Tribolium castaneum: one gene and its partners. The main gene of each other region encodes a partner of the protein of the gene in region 3 in a complex. Links are inferred from orthologs where the notes say so. Each region holds a gene or a part of one and is shown on either strand. Other genes may lie near its edges.

What was found.
Region 1: Rtf1 (region 3) and hyx share a complex: the UniProt entries of both Caenorhabditis elegans proteins name them as parts of the PAF1 complex. The link is inferred for Tribolium castaneum from reciprocal best matches to the Caenorhabditis elegans genes rtfo-1 and cdc-73.
Region 2: Rtf1 (region 3) and atms share a complex: the UniProt entries of both Caenorhabditis elegans proteins name them as parts of the PAF1 complex. The link is inferred for Tribolium castaneum from reciprocal best matches to the Caenorhabditis elegans genes rtfo-1 and pafo-1.

What each region holds. Positions count from the first base shown.
Region 1 is NC_087400.1:8,947,392-8,955,667, forward strand, and holds the start of hyx (parafibromin), read right to left. Parts: upstream 5,698-8,276; 5' UTR 5,657-5,697; coding exon 5,526-5,656; intron 5,442-5,525; coding exon 5,216-5,441; intron 5,163-5,215; coding exon 5,017-5,162; intron 4,963-5,016; coding exon 4,749-4,962; intron 1-4,748. UniProt on the Caenorhabditis elegans protein: Component of the PAF1 complex which is a multifunctional complex involved in transcription initiation via genetic interactions with TATA-binding proteins, elongation and transcription-coupled histone modification.
Region 2 is NC_087397.1:9,417,562-9,426,039, forward strand, and holds atms (RNA polymerase II-associated factor 1 homolog), read right to left. Parts: upstream 4,793-8,478; 5' UTR 4,671-4,792; coding exon 4,603-4,670; intron 4,550-4,602; coding exon 4,457-4,549; intron 4,411-4,456; coding exon 3,838-4,410; intron 3,189-3,837; coding exon 2,755-3,188; intron 2,706-2,754; coding exon 2,335-2,705; 3' UTR 2,260-2,334; downstream 1-2,259. Other genes in the region: regulator of hypoxia-inducible factor 1, read left to right, coding at 1-52, 98-300, 349-536, 1,724-1,812, 1,858-2,054, 2,099-2,259, 7,345-7,513, 7,556-7,755 and 4 more. UniProt on the Caenorhabditis elegans protein: Component of the PAF1 complex which is a multifunctional complex involved in transcription initiation via genetic interactions with TATA-binding proteins, elongation and transcription-coupled histone modification.
Region 3 is NC_087394.1:33,111,010-33,119,363, reverse strand, and holds the start of Rtf1 (RNA polymerase-associated protein Rtf1), read right to left. Parts: upstream 4,278-8,354; 5' UTR 4,158-4,277; coding exon 4,086-4,157; intron 3,907-4,085; coding exon 3,551-3,906; intron 3,498-3,550; coding exon 3,124-3,497; intron 3,019-3,123; coding exon 2,687-3,018; intron 1,761-2,686; coding exon 1,548-1,760; intron 1,496-1,547; coding exon 1,211-1,495; intron 1,156-1,210; coding exon 936-1,155; intron 1-935. UniProt on the Caenorhabditis elegans protein: Component of the PAF1 complex which is a multifunctional complex involved in transcription initiation via genetic interactions with TATA-binding proteins, elongation and transcription-coupled histone modification.

The DNA of each region.
Region 1 (8,276 bases), on a different chromosome or scaffold from region 3:
CGAAAAAAGCAAAAAATAACATCCTACCATGAAAAACACAAAAAAATAAGGTTTTTGGTCCGATTTATCGAAATCTCGTGAAAAAACTAAACTTCTGAATAAAAATCTGTTAAAAGTTAAAAGATATACAAAATACTCATAAAGGACAAGAAGTCTCCTTTGAATTCTCTGAAGTTATTTACAGATTTTTGAATCAGTTACGCAAAATCTCGCGAATATAACCGAGTCTCAAACTACAAAAAAATACATAAGGACTCAAAGAAGGAATAGATAGCAACATTTATTGTTAATTGTTAAATGTTAATTGTTGATTTATTGTTTTCTTTTCGGCCTATTTTTACTAAAATCCCTCGAAATAGTTACAGTTCTGACTAAATAACACGCTATAATGCTTCAAAAGATGAACCATAATGTAGTTTTCTATCTATTTTGGTGATTTTTGATCCACTTAAGCAAAATCTTGACAAAAATATAATTTTAACAAAAAAAAAGATATCAAAGCCAAAAAAAAGCAAACATGACTTCTTTTGTAACCCAACTGGCAACATTGCAGCTTATTTTTTATAATAAATCACAAAATAATTAGATGTCTGACTGAAAACATGTTCGAATAGAGCAAAAATAATGCCATTTTCACCTGATTTACAAACTTCTGGCTTGACTTGGTAAAATTAACCGATTATATAACTAATTGCAAAACTCACATGTACCTTGATTTACAGTTGTGTCTGTCATTTCCATTTAATGATTATGACAAAGCTACAATCTGTGTATAAATGAATGCAGGATCGTTGTAGGTAGTAAAAGTTTGCCGCTTCTTTCAAGAAAAAATATAAAAATTTGGTTTTATTGGTTGTCTGAGTATATAATAGTAGATTGTTTAACAAGTAAAGAAAACTCATTTCTCTTACGCGTTGAACACGCACTTTTTTCGTGTACTTCACTTCACGAAAATTATGATTTTAAAAATAGAAATTGTCTTGTTCCTAATGTTCCTATTAGCAAAATTATTTATGTCAAGCATTTGTTTCCTTGTGATAAAACATCACAACCAAGTAAATAAATAATTTTCGAAAAAGCTTTCATGTAAAATAAATCAAAGCGAAAATAATGAAGAACTTCTGCAATTGGCAGCAGAAGCGGTGTCAGGTTAGTACCTACAAAGTCTAAGGCAAAATACAACAGTCGTTAACATGAAAAGTGTTGCTAACAAGAAAAGTGTCACTTTTCTTAATTATTTTGGGTTAATCAATGTTATAAATTTCTATTAAGTACACGAAAAAATTGGTACTTTTCACAAATATCATAAAAATAAAAAATCAAATGCGGCAAATTCAAATTCCAGAACCACCTGAGATCCTACATTATTTTATAAACAGCCCGTATAAAGTTTATAAATAACAATTTAAGCAACATTAACAGTTATATCCACAAACAAAACACGGTCTAATTCTAAATTCAAAGAAAATCTTATCTACAATAATCGGAACAGTTAGATAGCGATCTTTCATTGAAAATAATCAACAACTGAATTTCAATAACCAAAACCTTACTTGGACATTTTCTGGGAGAAATTAATGAATTTAAAGAGCTTAATGAACTAGAAGTTTATACATAATGCTTCTGTAACATCTTCTCAAGATTAAAAAACCTGCGTATCTGTTTAATTTGTTAATTCGCAAAAGTGATATTCATAATGTCAATGTTAGAAATAATTCGTTATATTTGTATTCCTTAACATCATACAAATAAATATAAAAGCAGATTTTCATATTTTGCCCCGACATTTTACAGATGTTACCTAAGTAGTTTAGAAACAAAATTAATGATGTCTTATTGTGAAATATTGTGCAATATTTAGCAATGTTTCAATTTATACTACCAACTGTTCCCTTTTGTAAATTTATCTTTATATTTACAATAATCTTTATTTTTATTTATTTATTAAAAACGTGCATAAAAACGACAAAAAATAACAGCAAATCCGTCATAACTTAATAGTTTCCTCAATAATCTTTTTATAATTACGTCTGAAAATTCTGATAAAACGATCGAAAAAGCAAAAATTTTAATACAAAATGACTAAAATATAGGACAAATCAATTTCACTTTTAAAGGGAATTTCATAGTTTAGAATTAAGCTTGGAAAAGATGTATCGGGTGATTCAAAAATATGTGGCATAATTTTAACCACGAACACCCCTCTACAATTAAGAATAGATAGGATAGTATTTACTGATCCACACAAAAAATAGGAAAATTACAATTTTTCAGAAATTGGTATGGGAAATGGTTTTTTGAAAACATTTTTGTTACCGTTCATGCGATTATTATGAAATTTTGTATGCCAAGAGACACAAAGACGCTCTTTGATATGGTGTAAATGGAAATCTTGTAAAAGCTATACATTTCCGGTGACAAGGGGGCCCTTCCAGTTTTTAGGTGATAACTCAATTTTTCGGCCTATAAACACGTATTTTTGATATCAAAAATCAAAAGCCCAATTATTTTTTAATAAAAAAGGTACTCTTGCTTCATGTCGTCAAACTGTACCGTTCTCTAGTTATTTGGGATTAAACTAAACTCTACACTGCACTGCAGAATAGAAAAGTATAAATTTTGAGCGTACTATTACCTTGGAAACAGTTCACTACGAGTGATACAGCTGTCAATGCTGTCACATTTGATGTCAATTTCATTTAATCCAAAGTAAATTTTGATTATTTCTTGATGATAATAGTAAAAGACATGATTATGTGTTGGAAGAAATAAACTCCAAATTGCTGGTTTTATCAATACTTCACTACTTGCATTATAAAACTATAATCCAAATGAAGAATTAAAACGATCAGAGACCAAAACACAACCTCAACTGTAACAAATCACAAAATAAAATCTTATCAACTATTTGTAATGCCATTGTTGCAATTTTTCTTTAATAGGAAGTTAATTTGATCCACAAAAGAATAATGCACGGCTTAATGTTTATTTACATTTTTGAAAATTACAAGAGCTTCGACAACAATGAGCACAAAAGCAACAAATGCCGCCAGCGTGCTAATTGGCGCCAGTGCTATTTTTCATAAGCGCGAATATCAAAGAAAATATGAATGATGAAGTCAATGTTCTTTTTTTAAACAACAATAACCTGGATCATTTTTTTAACTAGATTTACCAGTATGGGCTGATCAGGGCATCATTTCCAAATACTAAAAGAATTTTTTTATCGTTATGACTTCATGATTTGTTTTTCGCGCTTACGAAAAATACCACAGGCGCCAGCTAGCGCGCTAGCGGCATTTGTTGCTTTCATGCTTATTGTTGTTGAAGTTCTTGTAATTTTTAAAAATGTAAATAAACGTTAAACCGTGCGTTATTCTTTGCAGGTTTCAACAACCTGTGGATTAAATTAACTTACTATTAAAGAAAAATTGCAATAGTGGCATTACAAATAGTTGATAAGATTTTATTTTGTGATTTGTTACAGTTGAGGTTGTGTTTTGGTCTCTGATTGTTTTAATCCTTTATTTGGGTTATAGATAGTTTTATAATGCAAGTATTGAAATATTGATAAAAACAGCGATTTGGAGGGATAATCGTTTTCTGGTGGTGTGGCATCAGATCAAGTTGTGATGCCGGGACGGCTACCGCTAGCTCATAGATTATTTCTTCCAACACATAATCGTGTCTTTAACTATTATCATCAAGAAATAATCAAACTTTACTTTAGATTAAATGAAATTGACATCAAATGTGACAGCAATGACAGCTGTGTCATTCTTAGTAGACAGTTTCCAAGGTAATGGTACGCTCAAAATTTATACTTTTTTATTCTGCACTGCGGTATAGAGTTTAGTTTAATCCCAAATAACTCGAGAACGGTACATTTTGGCGATATGAAGCAAGAGTTCCTTTTTTATTAAAAAATAATTGAGCTTTTGATTTTTGATATCAAAAATACGTGTTTATAGGCCGAAAAATTGAGTTACCACCTAAAAACTGGAAGGGCCCCCTTGTCACCGAAAATGTATAGCTTTTACAAGATTTCCATTTACACCATATCATAGAGCGTCTTTGTGTCTCTTGGCATACAAAATTTCATAATAATCGCATGAACGGTAACAAAAATGTTTTCAAAAAACCATTTCCCATACCAATTTCTGAAAAATTGTAATTTTCCTATTTTTTGTGTGGGTCAGTAAATACTATCCTATCTATTCTTAATTTTAGAGGGGTATTCGTGGTTAAAATTATGCCACATATTTTTGAATCACCCGATATTTTTGACAAGATTTTGATTTAACAACTGGTCACAAAGGCTCAAAAAGATAACAAATCGTGTCGTTTTCGGCATAATTTAGTATTCTTTGTTCCCACCAAACAACAACTTGGAAATAATAGGATTGAACTTTCAGTCAAAAAATAGCATTGTTTTCTATTGGCGCTTAAAAATGTGCGTAATACCCGAAAGGGGGGTAAATAACATTCTTTTAGTCAAAAAAACTGCCTTTTTAGTGCTTAAACGGGTATAAAAATAACATCCAACATAATTTGGTAGTCTTTCCGGCTTATTTTTGAATTGCGTTCATGGCTGGAAAATGCTTGAAAAAGATTTTCTGGCTCTGTTTTGCGAAATCTGACTAAACTAAACCTCTAAATAAAAATAAAAAACAATGCAGTTTAGTGATAAGATCTTATTAGTTTATCGAACTTAAAATTAAAATTGCAAGAATTTGCCAAATTCTTACCTTGCCATTAGATTGCAGAATTGTAGTTCTGGTCCTCCACTGTCTCTCACGACTGATAATGTCTTTGGTCAAGTCCACATCCAAGTCAAGAATAGCCCGAATGTCGTACTCTTGCCCTATATCATCATTGCCTTTAATTGTGGTTCGTTTCTTTGCCAAACGCTTGGCTTTAATCGCTGCAATTTTTTCCACAGACATGGCTTCAGACAATGATCTAGAAATCGTCAGTTAAAAATTGTTTCTCATTTGTAGAAAGCAAGTAAATTACTTGATATTATCAACAGTGACTGAAGCCTCTTTAGGGGCATCGAGTCGGGCGGCCAACTTCTCCCTAACTTTTTGCACATGCAAGTCCTCAAACCGGGGCTTTTTTGCAATACTTTCAGGCCCTTCATAGTCAGCAGATCTTTTGACCTACAAAGAAATAATTGTACATAAAAAGCCGCGTTTTCACACAAAAAACAAACCTGTGTGGGTATTTCAAGAGGAGCACTTTTATCAATCGCAGGACAACTCGCCGTTTCGCCATTTAGATAAGCCAAGAGTTCCTTTCTGTCAGGTCTTCTCACTACTGGTATATTCTCAGCAGCGGCTTGTCGCACATATACAGGATGAGTCAGTGATACATTTTTCAAAATAAACAACAAACATTCCAACGTGTAGTATTCCTTAGGGGTTCCGTCTTTGCCAGAACTAGAAATTTTTCATTGCATTTTGAGGTTAGCTTGTCAACAGATGGAAGGGTGGGTTGCGGAGGCGGCTTGGAACGGTACTTACCCCCACATTAAATAATTGGTTTTCACATTTTTCGGCCAGGAAAATTCCCCGAATATTATCTGGCCTTCGCGTTCGATTATTTCTTTTTTATTCACATTATATTGGCGAAGCAAACTCAAAGGGTCCGCCATTTTTGTTTACTGCACTACTTTTGAGCCCAATGCTGCCACCAGTCGACACCTGAAAAACTTTATCCCAAGCTGCTGTTTTATTAGTTGCATACATTTATTAAAATAAATCGAACATTGAAATACTGAAAAATGGCTTATTCGTATGAAATTAGCATTTAATAAAACCATGTGGGTGTGAAGTACGAAGGACTATAACATAAAAGACGGAACAACACAAAAAATTGCAGGATTTTCTGAAATCAAAAAAATAGTACGGCGGAGAAAAAATGAGGGCGCTTCGAGCGTTATGCCCACTGGGCATCAAATCGTTTTAAATTAATTTAATAAATCTAACCAATTTACTAAATACAGACTGATCTAGAAATACTGAGTTTGTTAGCAACAGATTTGAAAGTATTTATGCTTGTACTTTGCAAAATTGTAACCGAATTCGATTTTTTTGACAATTATTTGACGTACAGCCCCATAAGAACATTACATTGTTGTTAACAGGAAGCGTAGTCCATTGGTATCCTTAAAAATTTAAGTTCAGTGTTGCCAACAGACTCAGTATTTCTGGATCAGTCTGTACTTGGAAAAACATGCATAAATGTTAAGTTTTGTCTTCTTAACACACTGAAAAAAAAATGACGACAAAAATTTTCATAAGAAACTTGAAAAAAAAAATTTTTAATTTAAAATCTATCTGCGCTTTATCCCGTATTTTTCAAGACGCTACGAATATGGACACAGTTATAAGAAAAATGTTACAAAAAAATTTGTAGAGAATTAAATTTTCTTTAAAAAGAGTCCGCGAGACCATATCTTTATCAACGGTTTAGACCCTAAAGACGTTCAAAGATGCTGACGACGAATTCGTTTTATTTTACCGGTGTTCAAGTAACAGACAGTTAATTTTTAACTAAACTACAAAAGGAACTTTGTTCTTTACATCTTTTTTTGTATCTTCAACCGTATTTCCAGCGTTTTGATGAAGTTGAAAACATTAGTTGCATATTTATAGAAATTCAGAAATAACCCACTATTGACTCACCCTGTTGACTCTGCATAGGTAATTGAAAAAAGTGAAAAAGTGGCTCACTACATAAAACTTATTAAAACATTAAAGCAAAACTGTTACTTCCATAAAATCTGGGTAATTATTAACAAATTATTAATTAAAATTTAAAAAAATAGATGTCTTAACATAAGATAACTATAAAGTAAAATATTTATCCAAAAAGCATTTATTCAATATGAAGTTTTGTTTCTAAATATACAAAAAAGTAAACAATTAGGTATTAACAACACTATACTTTAGACTTTAAAAATTATAGAATTTACATTACATCACATTACGAAGACAAAATTGTTGAATGTTAGTTTATCTAATTTTAAGATGCCACAAAATAAATTAACATTTTTTTTTTAATTTTTTTTATTGTAATTCCTAAAATCCCTAAAATTAAAGAGATTGAAAATCGTTTAAAATTTATTTTATTATAATAATAATCTCTAAAATAGTCTTCATTTTTGTTAATAAATACCTAATTATGAATTAAAAAAGCAAATCGAAATCAGGAAAACATCTTATTCTCCGTATTCATTTTGTATTTATTTTATTTTGACTTTATTCCAATTTTTTATTTTTTTAATGGTAATTAACATACATATTTCTAGTGTATTTAATAATAGGTACATTTTTTTATTGCTTCATCTTTCTGATAAAATTACTTAGTACAATAAAAAGTAAAACCTACCTCAGAATAACGGACACCTCTTTAGAACGGACATTTTGTAGGAACGTATCAAAACTATTGCAAAATAATTTAAAAAAAAACTGGCTGCAACGGACCCTCTGTATAGCGGACGTGGACGTGGATAAACAAAAAATTGTTTATTTTTTTCAATGTTTTAGTTTTAATTTCAAAAGTTTTTTTGTTAAAACACATATATATCTAACAATAACAAAAAATTTAAGATCAAAACGTTGACTGTTATAAATCTTATACAGTTATCAACATGATCAAAAAATTGAAAGAATTAAATTCACTTAAAGCTATACAAAACTTATTTAACCTATTTAATATACATACTTAAGTTATACAAGAAATCTGCTTCTAGTAAAATATTTTCTGTAAAATATACTTTTGCTGCTGATTTAAATTTGATTAGATATGTTTGGTAGATTAAATGATGCTCTTTTTGAATTATGTGGTTACTTTGTCTCATTCCTGTCACAGTTACAGCCATTTGATTTTTATTAAAAAAAGAATATATATTTATTTACATTAACATTGTCCACTTCTTATTAGTAGACACCTCTCCACAACAGACAATTAAAGATTCCCCATCGGTGTCCATTGCTGAGAGGTTTTACTGTACTATGTATTTTTACGTCTCAAATTACATATTGGCTGTTTCAAAAGTACTCGTATGTAAAGACCAACGTCGCATTTTTCCAAATATTTTTTAATAAGGAAGATAAAAATGTAAAATAGTTATTAATGATTAGATCTTTCATTGAAACTATAAATTACATTAACTGTTAATTTGTTGAACCACTAACTTTAAGAGAAAGTGCTATATTTTTCTATAATTCGTATAAGTTAAACTAAAATTTATTAAATAATAAATCACT
Region 2 (8,478 bases), on a different chromosome or scaffold from region 3:
TACGAGAATTTTCTGGACGGTTTAAATAAGCATGACTTAAACGCTTTGAAAAGTGAGTACAGATAGAAAACGTGTTCACATTTAAACGTGCGCTTAGTGTTGGACGCCACAGCCAAAATACCGTCCGGAATTTTGAACGGCAATATCGTACAATATGGCGATTTTAACGAATGTATGGGGGTTAAAACGGCCCAATATTGTCTCGCTGAAATTGATTTTGGAGCACTGTGGAACGAATCCTACTCCGAGTACAGGGATTTAGTGCAGTCTTTTAATTTCTTTAAGGACACGTTTGATGCTGTAAGCTATCCAAGGGCTGGGTTTAGACAAGTGATAATTTGCTTATAGCCCGCTCATAGAGTTCCTGGTTTCACTATGGCCCGTTGGGGATTTTGTATACCCCAGGAATGTTCAGCAGAAGATTTAGAAAAATCGCTAAGTGCAAATTTTGGGGTTTTGGCCCAAATTAGGCCAGGAATGTGCCAAAAAGCAACAAAAGAGAGTAAAGATTTAACCAGAGGGGACTACATTGCCAGGTACATTCACCTAAAATGAAAATGACGTCTATGACCGATACCATAAATAAATCAACAGTTTTTCATTACATTTTGTTTAAAATATTGAACAAAAATGCAAATGAATTAATTTTTTAGACTATTCTTTGGCTTACTCGTGACAATTTTTACCGAAAAAAAACGTGATAATAAACAAAAAAATTGAAAAAATGTTTTTGAGTTTTGAGCCATTTATAGGTGATTTTTCAGTTCGGTTTATTTAGCCAAGAAACTGAATAACTGAAATGAATTTCAAATTGGCTGAAATAACAAAATTAATATTAATTCCCATCAGTTCATTTTAACAAAATTTTTCGAAAGAACTTAGTTTTTACCTCAACAATAAGTCTCGAACAAGACTTAACATCTACATTTTAATGCAAATGGGTGACTTTTCGGTTTGTTTTTAATGAAATTTTGCAAAACAATTACGTTTCTAACCAAGAAACGTGCTCAAAAGAAGGCAAAGATACAATAATTTTGGGTCTAAATTTGTGCTTTTTTATTCTCTTTTAGTGAGATTACAGAAAAAAACAGATTTTAGGTCTACAATGCGGTGAAAGTCCAAGAAAGACAGAAAGAAGATTACTTTTAATCAAAATTTATTACAAGTTTTTATACAATATCTCTTGTTGAGATAATCAATTTTCACGTCTCTGCTGCAGCCAGTTTTCTAAAAAAAAACTTTGTTTTTATATCAAAAATGTGTTTAAAAATTTTAAAATCGCACAATTCACATAGCTTTTAATTTTTTTTTTATTTTGAGTGATTACTTTACTGGTTGTAAACCATATGAAATCACATTATTTTAATAATAATGTAAACATTTGTTTAGTGCTAGAAGATATAAAACCAGTAGTTTTTTACTCTTTCTCAGAAGAAATATGCTTGAAAAATATAAAATTACACATTTTTTACGTAACTTTATAGTTCTTTGGCTTATTTTTGAAAAAAAATCGCTCAAAAACGACCAAAATCGAGCGAAACAAATCATATAAAGCTTCAGCTGCAAGGCTCACTTATGGACGCGTCATTTTCATTTTGGGTGGCTGTATCTTTTGCAGTTAATTGTTTTTATAAAACACATTGTAGATGCAGATAAACAATTAGTTTAAGTAATTTCATTGATGTTTATTAGTCTAATACGAATCGATATTTATTATTTCCAGATTATTTTTTATTTGTGTCGTTCTATTAGTGGTTTCGTCAACTTTGGTCGATTATTATAGAGACGGTAAAGGCGTTGCGCACACAAATGGTAATTTCTTGTCTCGATTACAATTTTTTTATTAGTTAATTACAGGAATATTCATGAAAATACTGCAGTGTTTTTCATTGCGCGAAAACGTGTCAAAATTTTTCGAAGTGAAAGAAAACGATCGCAGCGAAATAGCTGGCTTACACGGCATTCGTTTCCTCAATGCTTTGGCTTTACTCATGTCCCATAAAAGCGTTTCGCTATTTTTCAACCCTTATATGAACCGAACAGCTGCAGTTGATGTAAATAAAACCACGTCAAAAATTTTCTTTACCTACTTTTGCAGAGAGTGAGCCGACCTTGGACAATTATTGCAAAAAACGCGATTGTTTATACAGATGTCTTCATGCTTATAAGTGGATTACTAAACGCGAACGCTTTACTTACCGACTTACACAATGGCCGTGCGATGAAATTCAAGGAAAAATTAATCAACAGGATATTCAGGTATTGTTTATTAAACCATATTTACATCTAAATCCAATAAACAATGACTTGACACTTAAATAAAACGTTAGTGGTTCAATCACTGTCCGACTTGCTGCCGGATTCGGATCCAGATCGGGATCCGGATCTTGACCGCGATCCGGATCTGGATCTGGACGGTGATTTACTCCGTGATTTGGAACGTGATGGTGATCGTGATTTGGATCCGGATCTGGATCGTGACGGCGATTTGGAAGGAGATCGCGATCCGGAAGCCGAGCGTGAACGTGATCTGGATCTAGACGCAGATTTTGATCTGGATCTTGACCGCGATTTGGATCTGGATCTTGATCGCGATTTGGATCTGGATCTGGACCGTGAGGGAGATTTAGACTGTGATCGGGATCTAGACGGAGATCTTGAACGTGACGGTGATTTGGATCTTGACGATTCCGCGTCGCTTTCTTCTAAAAAATACAATTAATACAAATTTTAAAATCAAATACGAAAAATTACTTTCGTTTTCTTGTGGTTCTTCGTTTTGTTCCATTTCCATTTCTTCGTCTTCATCGCCTGCAGGTTCGAGTTGTTTTTCGCGGTATCTTTGCATTCGGAATTCGTTCGCATCCATTGGTCGGTGTTTGACGATAAGACGGGTGTTGCTGGCAGGTTGGCCAACTTTCTGGCGACGTTTACTCAATCTGACACGGGTTTCTAGCTCATTATAGTAGGCACCATCTTGTCTGATTACGAAGAAGTAATTTTCTTCGTAACCTTTGCTTGCTTTACTCTTCACGTTCCAGTTGTATTCTCTTGCCATTTTATACTCATATTCTTCATCGTCTTGGTATGGTATCTCGTTAGCAAAGTCTTCCCGTCTTTTAACTAGAGTCTCTTCAGTTGGGAGGAAGTAGGCGACGAATTGTTCGCCACGTTCGTCCATCACACCTCTGAAAAAAAAATTATCACACAAAGTTATTACTTGATCTTTAAACTGTTTTTCTCAAAACGTGTAAAATGCGACATTCATTGTTTTTCCATCGTATTCTTAACTTATTAATAACATATTGGACTAACTTATTTTTAATTTTAATTAATTAAAATTAAAATTCAGTTTAGTAAATAAATATTTCTGGTTGAGTAAAAAAAGTTAATAGTCTAAACGATGGAGGATTTTAAATATGCTAGAGGATTTTAAAGTTGTTGGCATGTTGTCCTTGTGATAAAATGACAATGATAAAAAATTTGAATAACACTCATACGAAGACCCTTAAAGTTCTCGCATACGCTCGTTGCATAACGACAGCCCTCGAACTTTAAACTTGTGTTTTCGCTCTAGTATTATTAATAACTATTACATAATTCAATTTTAATAGCAAGTTTTGTAGCAAATTTAATTTTATAATTCTTTCTTTCATCTTCTTTTTTTCACAGCGGTTTGAAAAATATGGAACAGAGCACATTTTTTGATATATTTTTTTAACTTGTAAAGAATTTGATGCCCAACGTTCCTGCTTTTTTTGCAAAACAATTTACAGCCGTATCATTAATTTTTTTTGGGTACAGAAAATAGCTTCTTAGTCAAAATTTAATTCTTACCTGATCATAGCTTGTGACATTTCCTCAATCTGCGCGGGCACTTGTTTACCAACAGGCGCTGGATCTGAATCAAAAATAACCTGAGCACATGGATATTTCCACAGATTGAAATCGGGAAACACTGGCAATACTTCAACAGCAGTCACATTCGGCTTGCTGTAATGCTTTTCAATCGGATTCGTTGTATCACTGAACGTTTTCTCAATAGCCTTGATTTGTGAATCACGGTCCATGTACAATGTTTCATTCTTCAAATTCTTCTTAATACTGTAGCCAACTTTCGCTTCGACTTTATCCATACTTTGTGGCTGGAATCGAGTCTGTTCTGTTGAAATGTATTCAGTCCTGCGAAGCCAAGAGACAGATCTTGCATGGTGTCTGGACCTTTTCGAGTCTTGAGGTGTTAGGATATCTTCTTCTAGGAGTTTCTCATCAGCTGGATCAAGCATAGCACCTGGTTCCACAGCGTAAATATCTTTGTTAATCAAGTCAATGGCAACGCCCAAATCATGTTCAGTGAGCACTTCATACCGATAATTTCTCTCCAACGAGGTTGGATTAAATTGTATAAACCTGAAACAACACATCAGGCGACCACAAACATTTAAAACAGCCCTACCTTGATGAATCAAACGGGTATGAGATAAATTTCAAATCAAACGGGATATCAGGCAGCGTGTTGCAATATTTCACCCTGCATATCAAGTCGGACCTAAAACAGCCCCATTTTTAACCTGTTTGTTAAAATTTCATAACCATATTCACTTTTTTTCTGCTGGTTTAACAGGCCGTTTTTCTTGCGTGGAAGTTCCATTTTGTATCGTTGGAGGCATTGTAAAATATACACCAAATTTTCTAACTTAATAAAAATATTTTCAAGCTATTTCAATAAATTTACAACTTATACACGCACAGTTGTCAAAACATACGAAACAGTGTCGCCAGGTGAAATTGTTTGTAATCCCTAGATGTTTATTCAAAAGTCCCTACATTGCAGTTTCCACTTAGGTGTATATTGGGTTGCATAAGCAACAAAAGTATATTTAATTTTTTTTAATTTAACAATTATAATATCTACTATAAATAATATAATAAATAAAACATAATTTACATATTATTAATAACAATAATATACTCCAAAATAAATTAATTACACAATATTTAATTAATATAACAGTAAATGGTAGAAAACTCCTAGAACTAAAATTCGTATATAATAAATAATAATAATAAGATTAAAAAGAAAGTAAACAATTAATTACACTTATTATTAACTAACTACTTTAAATAATTTTACTGCAGATATAAAAAAATTAACATTTTAGATATATTGCGTTGTTCATTTTTTTAATAAAGCGGAATCAATTTTACAGTTAAAACAACTCTCATCTTTCGTAACATTTTTAAATGCAAATTATTAATACTTCTTAATGTTTCTACTAAAAGTTTATTTGCAATTTTTGATTTTATTTAAATCTTTTGTAGAAATTTTTTTTTCTACTGCTACGCTTGAATGAGGAAGGCAAATAATTTCTGAAATATGTTACGTTTGGAAAATCCACCCTGACTTAGAAGGGCGGGTCAGGGTGTAATTTTAATGCCCTTAACGGCGTCAGAGTGAACGGCTGACGTCGGAGCGTCAATGTTCCTGTTCCTTCTGTGATGTCCGCTTTTTTGTCAACCTTACAAAGAAATGTTTTTTTTCTTCCTTATATGTGGCTCGGTGCGTCCCGCATTCAGTTGTGGGCAAACTTGAATGTCGCAGCCTTTTAGTGCCCACTGTCCTGAAAATGTTTCTGGTTAAAACCGTAGGTTGGTACCTTGATAACTTAGTTGGGAAAATCGTCGGAAATGCTATCCGTTAGGGCCGGATAGCCTCCTTATTTCCTTTTGCCTGCCCTAGGGGTTCCCATGTGGGCTATGGGGGCCTTAGTTTAATTGCCCATGTCATTGTTTACATTTTCTTATCTGTTTTGAATTTGAATCTAACCTGTAATTGTCAATCTTAGTTACCTTTCTAAACTCCCTAGTTTTCCTCTTATCTTCTGTTTAGCGCGTAAATTTTAAATTTTCGTTTCCGTTTCACTTTTTTTCTGAGTCTCGTTCTTTAAAACTCCGAACGGAAATCGTTCTAGCACTTTTGTCCTAGCTCCGTTGTGGGAGTCATCTCGAGTGAGCAGATTTTAGATCATCTCACATTATTGTGGAGATTTGCGGTCATCGAGTGTGAAAATTTAAGTATCGTATGGAGTGATTCGTTGTGAGTGCAGCTTCACTAAGATTTTCGTGGTAAATGCTCGCACCATCGCCGTAGCCGAATAGTCGGATTCGCAGGACAAAATTCTTTTGCTAACACGAGGAAGCCGCCCAACATCAAAGGTACCGAATTGATTCTGATGAGCCCTTTTCTTTGTTTTCTTGGTTCAGTGTGTATTTCGATTTAAAGGCTTCAAATTGGGGGGGAGTAAAACCTTCGAGGGGACCTAACATCCCATCATCTCTCGTTCCGGACGTGGTCCTTCGCCGTTATCACCAAACCCGCCATCTGCGAGGTCAACAGCTACCTCTGAGGGAGCCCCTCATCGAAAAGACGGTCAGGCAAGCCTTTGTTAATTACGGACGCGCCGGAACCCCCTAACCTCGAGCCTTTTTGCTGTCTCGTGTGTTCTCTTTCTTCCAATTTTTTTTGTTTGATCGCCTCACGATCAAAGGTAATATTGCTGATCTCATTTTGTAATTTAATATATATAATTTCGTTGTAAATCGTCTCTGGACATATCGGTTGGTAGATTCGGTTATTAATTTTGCGCTTATCGATATCAGTCACAAAACATAGATCTATGAGTTTGCGGCCGACAAAGAATAATATTCCGAGCACGTGATCGGTATAAGAGAATCACTTTTCTCCTGTCTACTTGTCCAGCGTAGATAGAATAGTATTTTTTATTTCTTTAATAATTTTTAATTTCCTACATTTTTTAAATCTTTGTTATATAATATTTTAATCCATTAAAATTTAATTTCGGGGAAACCCCTTTTTCTTTCCTTTCTTTTTTTTTCCCCTCTAGTTGGGGTTATACAACTAGTGGCGCCCAATAACTTCGGTTTATAGTTCTTTGTGATCACCCACGCCCAACACCCAGAGCCGGCTGGCACCAACTTGTGTTACTTAGGTAACAATAAATTTTGACAGAACTGGAAATATTTACAACTGATTAGCAAAATGAGAAATTTTATATTTTTGCCCAAAATACGTTAACACTAAGATTTTTTAAATTATCAAAGTCAATATTTCTTAATTGTCATCATTCCCTGTTCTTAAATGATTTAACTTATTTTCAGAACTTAAATTTGGAAAATGTCATATTTCATTAAAATGATATCTTCTGCTCTAATTACTTATTGGTAACCGTTTTAAAATGTTTGAGTCAAATCTTTAAAAAAAAAATTAAAATAATAAAAAATCCCTAGCACCTGCGCAGAAGTTCCAATTTAATTTTTTTTCAGAATTCTTCCAAACGTAATTGCCCTAATTTTATTTTGTACGTACATATTACCCTTGATGGGCTCCGGGCCGTTATGGCCTGTCGTCGTCGATCACCATTCAACACTATGCAAGCAGCACATGTGGAAGAATATTTTTTTCATCCACAATTACTTCGGTTTTGAAAATATGGTAAATACCACATTATTGCTAAACGTGTACTTAACTAAACAGTTTCAGTGTTTGACTCACACGCACCAGCTAGGTATTGACATGCAGCTGTTTTTAGTTACACCAGTTTTTGTTTATTTGATCTGGACATTTAAACGAATTGGATTATTCTTTATGGGAGTTGTGGCCCTACTTTCAACAATACTTAGATTTTGGGTTTCGTACGAACATGAATTGACGAGCGTCGTTTACTTCGGCATCTCGTAATGAAACACTTGCTTATATTTAGGAAAATTATGGAACAATATTTTTTATTTCAGAGTTTCAAAAATGTTTTCAGTGGCTAGTTTATCATACATTTTACCAACTCATCGAGCAACTATTTATTTAATAGGTGTTTACCTGGCTTATTTATTAAAATGTTCTAAACCAAACACTTCTTTCACTAAGGTACTTGACGTATACGTTTCGTTAAGTAATTATTTAATGAAATTTTTAGTGGCAAGTTGCATTTTTGTGGTGCTTTTTCCTACCAATGTTTCTCGGTGCTTGGCTAGGACCGTACCATATGGTCACAAAAGACTATGTTTATGATAAATTGGAAGCCTCGTATGTGCTTGCTTTATATCCGATTTTTTGGGGCTCCAGTGTAGCATTTGGAATTTATGCCATAAATAGAGATATTGCAGGTTGTTCACAAATTAAAACAAATGCGGTTCAGAAACTATTCTTTTAGGCTGGTTGGGAACGTTGTTTAATTGGAAATATTTTCAAATTTCAACAAAACTGGCTTACGCCTTGTATTTGGTGCAATTTCCAATTTTTTTCTATAATGTGGGGTTGACAAAACATGTTGACGAATACCGCACATATTTACAAGTAAGTTATAATTTATTAAATGTCTTTGAAAACATCGTGTCTTTTAGCTTGAGGTTGTTGAAACCATAGTTATCATATTGTGTTCCTTTTTGCTTGTTCTTTTGATT
Region 3 (8,354 bases):
ACATATTTTAACATAAGGAAAATTGTAGAGTGTAAAATACTGACATAAGAAAAAACTTTGTAATCGTTGAATACCTTATACCAAATTATATCTTCATAACATATTATTGCTTTGTTTTTTACACCATTCGTTCAGAACGATTTGTTTTTGTGGTAATTGAATCAAGACATGAACTAATTAACTAATTAATTAAGATTAATAATTAAGAAATAAAAGATGAAAAATTCAGATTCATCTCTAAAGAATTGTTGATTTCTTGCGACAACACGACTAAAAATAAAACGTCCACGCCAAAGTTTATGATTCATAGTTTTACCGCCCCCTATTTTCGTAGTTAAAGACAGAGAAAGGGTGTTAAAGGACAAAATTGTAGAAAATTCAGTTGTCTTTAAACAAGTCCGGAGATAATATATTTCTATCTTCAACCTTTAGGTTTAAAATGTCTTGTAAAATGTTTCTTCGGCACTAAATGACCGGTCACAAAAAACGAAACAATCACTTGAACGGCTATAATCGTCTTTGAAGACTAAACAGTTTACGATAGAGTCTCATTAATTTGTAGGTAATTTAATTCTTTAATTCTTTTCTTTTTTTAAATTTATTTTTACATTTTTCTTGAACGTGTATCTTTAAAGTATTTGCAGCTTTCTGAAAAATATGGAAGGAATTTTTATTGGCCTAGTATCTGTTTCTTTAATTAATCAAACACAAACTCTCTACCTTATTTTTAAAAGCGATGGAAAAAAAATTTTGATTATTTGAATTCGTCAAGTGAAAAATAATTTATATTTTTGGAAGACTGTCCATAAGGTTGTTATTGAGCGATTGTTTCGATTGTCCATCGAACAATTCGAAAAACTACTGTTTCTAAAACATCAGTAGTTGTGATAATAGTATTGCCAACGTAATTTCAAAATGATGGCAATAACTAGTACCTGGTAAAGGAACATCTAAGTCAATTTTAATATCAAAGTCATGAGCTGAGAAGAGATCGTCCTGAGTAACTTGAGCCGGCTGCGCTGCTACTTTCGGGTTTTCCACTTCCACTGCAACCTTCTCTGGCTTTTTCTCAACCACTACTTCGGCTTTCTCTTCAGGAGCTGCCTTGAAATTCATTCTTGGTTTTGTCGAGCGTCTTGTGAACGGGTCATCGATCTAATAGTCACAAATTGTAAAATAAAAAATATTGCGAAATCTAATCGAATCAAACCTTTTTGCCTTTGTTTGCTTTAACTTCGGCCATAATCGCCTTTTCGGCCTCTTCAACGTTGCGTTTCCTGTTCCGGTCGTTGATGTATGAAATACTTGAAATGGTCGATGTTCTCATTTTGTCCAACTCTGACGCCCTTTCTTCCAAATCAGAGATCCTTTGGGTTAATTCTCTCGCCAAATCTTCAGCCCCGCGAGCCAGGGCTGAGTCTCTTTCTTTCATTAGTTGGGTTTTGCGCATTGCATAATTGTGGGGGTTTGGCTTGAACCGCTCTTTTTCGCGTATCTAACAACAGAAAGTTACAAGGACCCAAAATAAATTGTTGGGTTTTATTTACAATTCGTTCAATATCCTGTTCGTTAAATTCGTAATTTAAGGCTTCTTTTATGTCGGCTTGTTTCTGTTCAATGTGTTCTTTTGTGGGTAAAGGATTACTAGCAGCTGTGCTGGCCTCTATCCACTTGTGATACTCAGTCTCGGTGAATTCTTGATTGGATACAAATTCTAGGCGGAAAACTCGCTCCTGATTTCCGTGTCGTACACGCAATCCCTAACAGCAACATTCAAATGTTAACATGGAAGTATTTTACAAAAAACTTAGATATTATATTTTTTTAGTTTTTCCGAAGAATTAATTCTGTCTTTTGTTTTTCGTATTTGAAGCAGTTTTGTATTTGTATATTTTTTTTGTAGTAAATTTATAAATATATTTATAAGATAAATTTTGCTACATTGGTTTTTCTTGAATTCAATGCTCAAAAACTCACTATCAATTGAAAGAGTTAGGAAACATAAACACAGGAAATCAGCGATTTAAAAAATAAAAAAAATAATTTAGAGACAAATAATGAATATAATGATTTGCCGATTGTGAATGAAAATCGTGCTTGAAAACATTCAAGGATAGTAAGAGTAAAAATATTTCATTGACTGTTTATAACAAATTTTCACCAAATTCCGGGCACTGTGTAGTTAAAATTTGTGAATACGTACTATTTATAAAAGAAAATTGAAAAAAAGAAGCAAAAGTGACTTCATAACTTCCAACTTTTTATTTTGAAAACTTAATTGTAAAGAAGTATTTTTTATGCAACTACCTTAGGTTTATCTTTTAGTTTTATGAATCTCTCATATATCCGCATTGTTAAATTAAAATATTAAAAAGAATAAAGACTTTGTGACCCGATCATAGATCAAAAATATTCGTAGTAACTTTAAGCGCTTAAAGATATAATCCACCTTGGAAAATTTACCAAGATAGTTAACTAACTTCGTAAATACGTCTGACACAAGCTGTGTTTATAAGAACAAATAAATCAATTTTCAAACGTGTATCAGCTTCTAAAGAAAATTTAAAATTTGTAAGATACTGTTGCTTTAAGTTTATATGAATAAAATATTCGCAAAACCTATTAGAAAAAGTATTTCCGGAATTATCATTTTGCTATTGTACCCGTTAAGGTAATTAACAAGTACCTTGTTTGTTCTGGTGTTTCCCAAATTGTAAATCTTGGCAGTTTCATAAACATTTGTGACTTCGGCCACCCGATAAACAGGCATATTATTATGTTGCCCAATACCGATTTTTACGTAACATCCTTTAACAATACGATCAAAGAACGGCATATGTACAAATCTTTCTAATTTATGTCTCGACAACCGAATATTATTCATGTCAAGTTTCGTAGGTACATAAGCGGGTTTTTCCTCTTCTTCTTGTTCATTATCACTCGAACTTGAACTAGACGAAGAGCGGGATCTGACAGACCCCACAGATTGTCTTGGTGGCTGAGGTGAACTTTTACCTCCTGTAAAAAACCTAAATTTACAAAACAAAAAAACATTATTAAACGAAAAGTTACAGAAGAGTCAAAAAACGGTAAAACGAAAGTGGCAATTTTGAGTTGAATTACCTTCACTTTCGCTGTCATCTGAATAAATATCTGACGCCTTTAACTTTACGTTGCTCTTGTTTGTGTGCAGAGCGTCTTCCTCTTCCTTCTTCCTCTGTTCTTCCTTGCGTTTTTCTTCGGCTTCTTCCCGCTTTTGCTTGTCTTCTCTTCTGGCTTTGAGTTCGGCCATGGCGTTGACACGTTTGTCAACTTTGCCGCGATTTTCCTCAATGTTTTTCTTCCGCTCTTTGCTACGTTCCTTGTGGTCTATTGAACTGAAATCGGTTTGGAGTTTACTGTGGTCCCTGCTCTTCTCTTTGTCTTTGTGCTTGTGAGGTTTCTCCCGTGCCCTTTCCGCTTTCTTCGCCTGTCTCAACTTTTTCTCAATCTCAAATCTGTACAAAGCATGATTTAACAAAAATTTAACAATTCTTACACAAAAACGTACCGCGTTTTCATCAATTCTCGTTGCTCGATTCTTTTGAAAATTTCCGTTTCTCGTTCTTTCTCAGTTAAACTGGCTAAGCGGGCTCTGTCTTCTTCATCGCCCATAAGTTGGTCGTCATACCCGTCGTTATATTCTTCATCAGATATTGAAGAGTCTGAGACTTCACCTTCCTCAGGCTCTGAGTTATTTTTCGCCTCCTCTTTCTTTTCAAATTCGGAGTCAGAGGACTCATCTCGTTTGGGTTTCTTGTTATTTCGACCCTCATCACTGTCAGATTTGCCCTCGTATTCCGAATCCGAGTTAGACCTTGGCGATTTCTTCTTCCTGTTCTTTTTCTTCGCCAAATTCAAAAATTCCTATGGCCAAAAAACAACTCAACAACTATTCAAAAATAGCTCCAACTAGCGCGTAATTAAGCCAAACAACAACTGTGGCAGTTCAATCAATATTTATACAAAAAAATAGTGAATTGAGGATGAAAATTGAAATTGTGTGATAGAGGTTAGAATTTTTTCGGATGGAAAATTGCACTTACAGAGTCCAAATCGCTAGTTGAATCATTGCTCGAATCACTGTCAATCAAAGCTTGATTTTTGCGTTTTCCCATCTTGGGATTTCAAACTGGATGATCAATTTTGCTTCAGAAATTTAAATTAAATCAAAATCCAACAACACAACCACTAACTGCCACCACCATTACTATTTTTCATTTCTTTCTGTTCCTTTTTCAAGCGCTTCAGTCATGTGCAACCGAAAATTCACTGCGCAGAATCGGGCGCTCTATCGAATAGTTTTTATATCGAAAATGTCAACACTTCGTTTTATGTAATTTTGTATAAAATAACACACTTTAATTAATAAATTAAATTGATTCATTGTTTGCTTTACTGGCTTTTATGTTATTTACGCTTGTTGCGGTTAAATGTGGCCAAAAGTTGGTAAAACGAAGAGAAATTGTGGCCGAAATTTCGCTCACCCGAATGCTGGATATTTCCCGCCAAAAATTAACAAAAAATTTTTTGTTGTTGTAAAAATGTTTAATTACCTTTGATTTAACTTTTTAATTACCTAATTATGATGCACAACAGCTACTTTTGGAAATAGTGGTTCAAGTTTTGTGCAACATTTTCAAAAAAAAAAAATTTTAATTTAAAATTTACGCATTGTTTGTACTACGGTTGAGGATACAAAAAAAGTGTAAAAAACAGAGATGTAGAAAATTAATTTTTCTACAAAAAAAGTTGGCGACATCATATTTCTATCTGCAATGTTTAACTATAAATTAACTTTGCAATACTTGATCTCCGGTTTATGAAGCAAATCCCTTGCTTGAGCGACTTTGAAAATCTTTTAAAACAAGGATATGGTCTCGCTTAGATATATCTTTATCTTATTTTATCTTTAGTTTTGCCTTAAAGTCAAGTTAAAAAAAATGTTAAAAAAAAGTGTGAGACTGTTGTATGCCTAGAAGCTTAAGATTTAACTAAAATCATTAAATTTTACTGTTTTTTTTTAATATTGTTGAAGATATTAAGTTACTATTTATAGTTTTAAAACAGTGACAAAGGTTATAATTATAACTTATAATTTACCACTGAACTTTTTTCATGATAAATTTTTGGAAAAAGTGTATAACTGGTTGCTTTTTATTGTTGATATTTTTTGTTGATGCAAAATATTATTTTTTTAATAAATTTGTGTAATCAGAAAGGCGTATTTTTTTACAAACGTAAAGATAATTCTTTAAGCAATGAACTAATGGACTATTTTGAAAAGAGTAAATGGTCTTTTGCTCTTGGCGCCTTTTTTCGAACTCGTAGTGGATCAAATCGGCGCACTTTTTCGCTCATGCGCGCAGTAGATTAGATGTCAGACTAACTGACAAACGTTAATTTAGTTCAATGGATTGTCCCCGTGTTGTTTAGTTGGATTTGATGTTGTGCAAAAATGTGGTTGTCAAACAAAACATGGACTTTCAACGTTAGGATATTTCACACGACAAATCATGACCGAGTCATTTGAGGAGTGAGTACAATATTTAACCCTCAATTATGGGGATGGGCTATGGGGATGTTAAGTCGGCCATCATTTTCTTACTGATCATATTTGGAAGGAAACCGAGTCAATTGCTGGCCAAACGAGTGCAAGCACACAATTTCTCTCAATCTGCTTATTCAATTCACATTGCCTTATCTGTTGATGTCATAACTTATACATGATCATTCATTGTAAAGTAATCAATGGTTCCATTCATACTTGCACTGTTCATGAATGTTTACTTGGGATACGTTGTATCGGGTACGTTCACTTCGCAATTTATTTTTGTAATAGTTTTCCACACCCACACGTCTATTACAAAAACTAATGAATGAAAGGCTGCGCTCGGAGGGCCCACAGCCTGCATAATCTCCACCGAAACTATTTCCCACTCGAACCGACTTATTTTTAAAACCAGCATCCAAATGATTACTTTCTCATAATCAGGGAACCGTTTTGCATCCGTACTTTATCTCATTTACCGCAAGATACGTAACTGCACAATTATCCAAGGGCGGAAAGGTGCTCATTCTCTCCTACTCATGTTACTTTTTAATTTGATGAATGAAATACTACCACTGAACCAAAATAGTAAGTGCCACTTATCTTATCTGTGTTTATTTACTTTTAATTACTGAATGAGCCGCCAAACCCGCAAAGTTAATATTTTAAATTGGATAACACTCCAACATTAACCATACAGTAGCCTGCTTGCTTGCCCGGGATTTTCTAATATTTCTCTACTGCGAATTCCCCAGTTGATGAGTCCATAAACATTGGGTTCAAAATCCGAATTCATTCACCAAACGATAAGCTGCAGATCTTTCCCAGACTGAATTCACAAAATTCGTTTATCAAATTCTGCTAATAACAATAACAAGAAACAATCTTAAATATGAACAAATACCTTCTTCATTTGTATGATAAACATAAGAACATTTTCAAAATCTACAGATTGTCACAGCTAAAACTTTATTGTTAATAAACAACATTTATGGTAACGTTATAGCAATAAACTAAATAATATTCGTAAAATGCGAGTACTTTTGCTGTCTTATCTCTTTAAACTATTTTGTAAGCTGATAGATTACCTCACTAAATAAAGAAAACGTTTATTTTTTGCACAAACAGTAACGGGATTTGTATAATAATTACCTAATTATTAATTTAAAAACTTTTGCTTTGTTTTAAATGTTACATCAACATGAAATTTTTTTGTTAGATTTTCTAACCCATTATGATTTGGTTTGTGGTTGGAGAGCTAAATTACTTTTGGAATTTTTTTATTTGATTTTCTGAAAAAGAACAACTCTTTACGGTAGTTTCTGAATGGATAGTTCTTTTTGAGAAAAAGGAAGAGATTGGTATTTACTCGTATTTTAGTTAATTTATCCTAAAAAAAAGCAGGCTGCAACAATTTCCAAAATTTGTCAAAATGTTGAAAAAACTTCTAATTTCGACATTGTTTGACTAATTTGTACCAAAGTTAAGCAATAAAGCCTACTTTAAACAGGAATTAAGTATTAGTAAAATTTTATTCTTTCGATTATTCCGACCTAATTCAACAGGACTTTCTAAGAAAATACACTTTATGTTGATGATAGCATCTTTACTTTTGCAAAATCAGACTTAGAGACTAAATACATGGGAAAATCAATTGGTTAGACTTTGGAATAATTACAAAAAATGTCTGTTTTTATGAACCTCACGTATTATCGTGCTGCATGCTTTAGATCCTGTTTTTTCTACAATTTTTACATACAAATAGCTATTTTTATTGTGATTAATTTTATTTTATTAGTTACGTCTTTCAAACATTTGTTAGAATAAAAAGCTGTGGAAGGTGTTATTGAAAAGTTATTCCTCACCACTGGACAGAATTTTCTATGGTTTCTATGTTTGTCACCACATTTGCATCCATACTTCAGTGCATTTCTAAAACAATTTCACCTGCGACTTGCTCTGGATGGAGAATTGTTTTTCGCATAAAATTTCAAAAAACTACTGTCCAAAAAAAGAATTTTGATTTTACATTGTAATATTTTTTAATAATAATCACACATCTGTGCAGTTTTGAACGAAATACAAGTAAACCGTTTTTATTATTTTTATACCAACTACATTTTCTGGTCATTTTATTTTTGGCAACTTGTCTATTTTAATTAGAATCTTTCTACGAAGAAACTTATTTGAGCAAATTTTATTTTTCCTCTTACACGGTGAATAAATAATTTCCACATAATGATAGAAAAAAATTGGTTATATTACAGTTGAACTTCAGTATAACTCGAATAGGCAGTTGGCAGCAAAATATCATCGAAAATTCGTATTATCAAAAATAACTAAAATAAAAAAAACTTAAGATGCAAATGTAAATTTACAAAAGTAATAGAAAATGTTTTAATAAGTATTGGAATAAAAAAACTACATATTTTACTACAAGAAAGTAATTTGACATTACATACATAGTTTGCTGCAAAATTTTTTTTATGTTATTCTACGAGTACAAAAAATATGCAAAAAAGTCATTATTTTTAAAATATAAATGGTGGAGGCACAATTCGACTTTTAGAAAGGCAAATTTTGATTCAGGGTTTGCCAAAAAAATTCGTCTTATCGAAGTTCGACTGTATTTACTTCCACATTTATTTGTTAATTCTTAAATTTTCTTGATGATTTTTGTGTAGAAATAGAATTTGTAACAGATTTTTCCAATTTTTTAACGGTCTGTGACCTGTGTGGTGGTAATTCCCCATTGACTCATTTG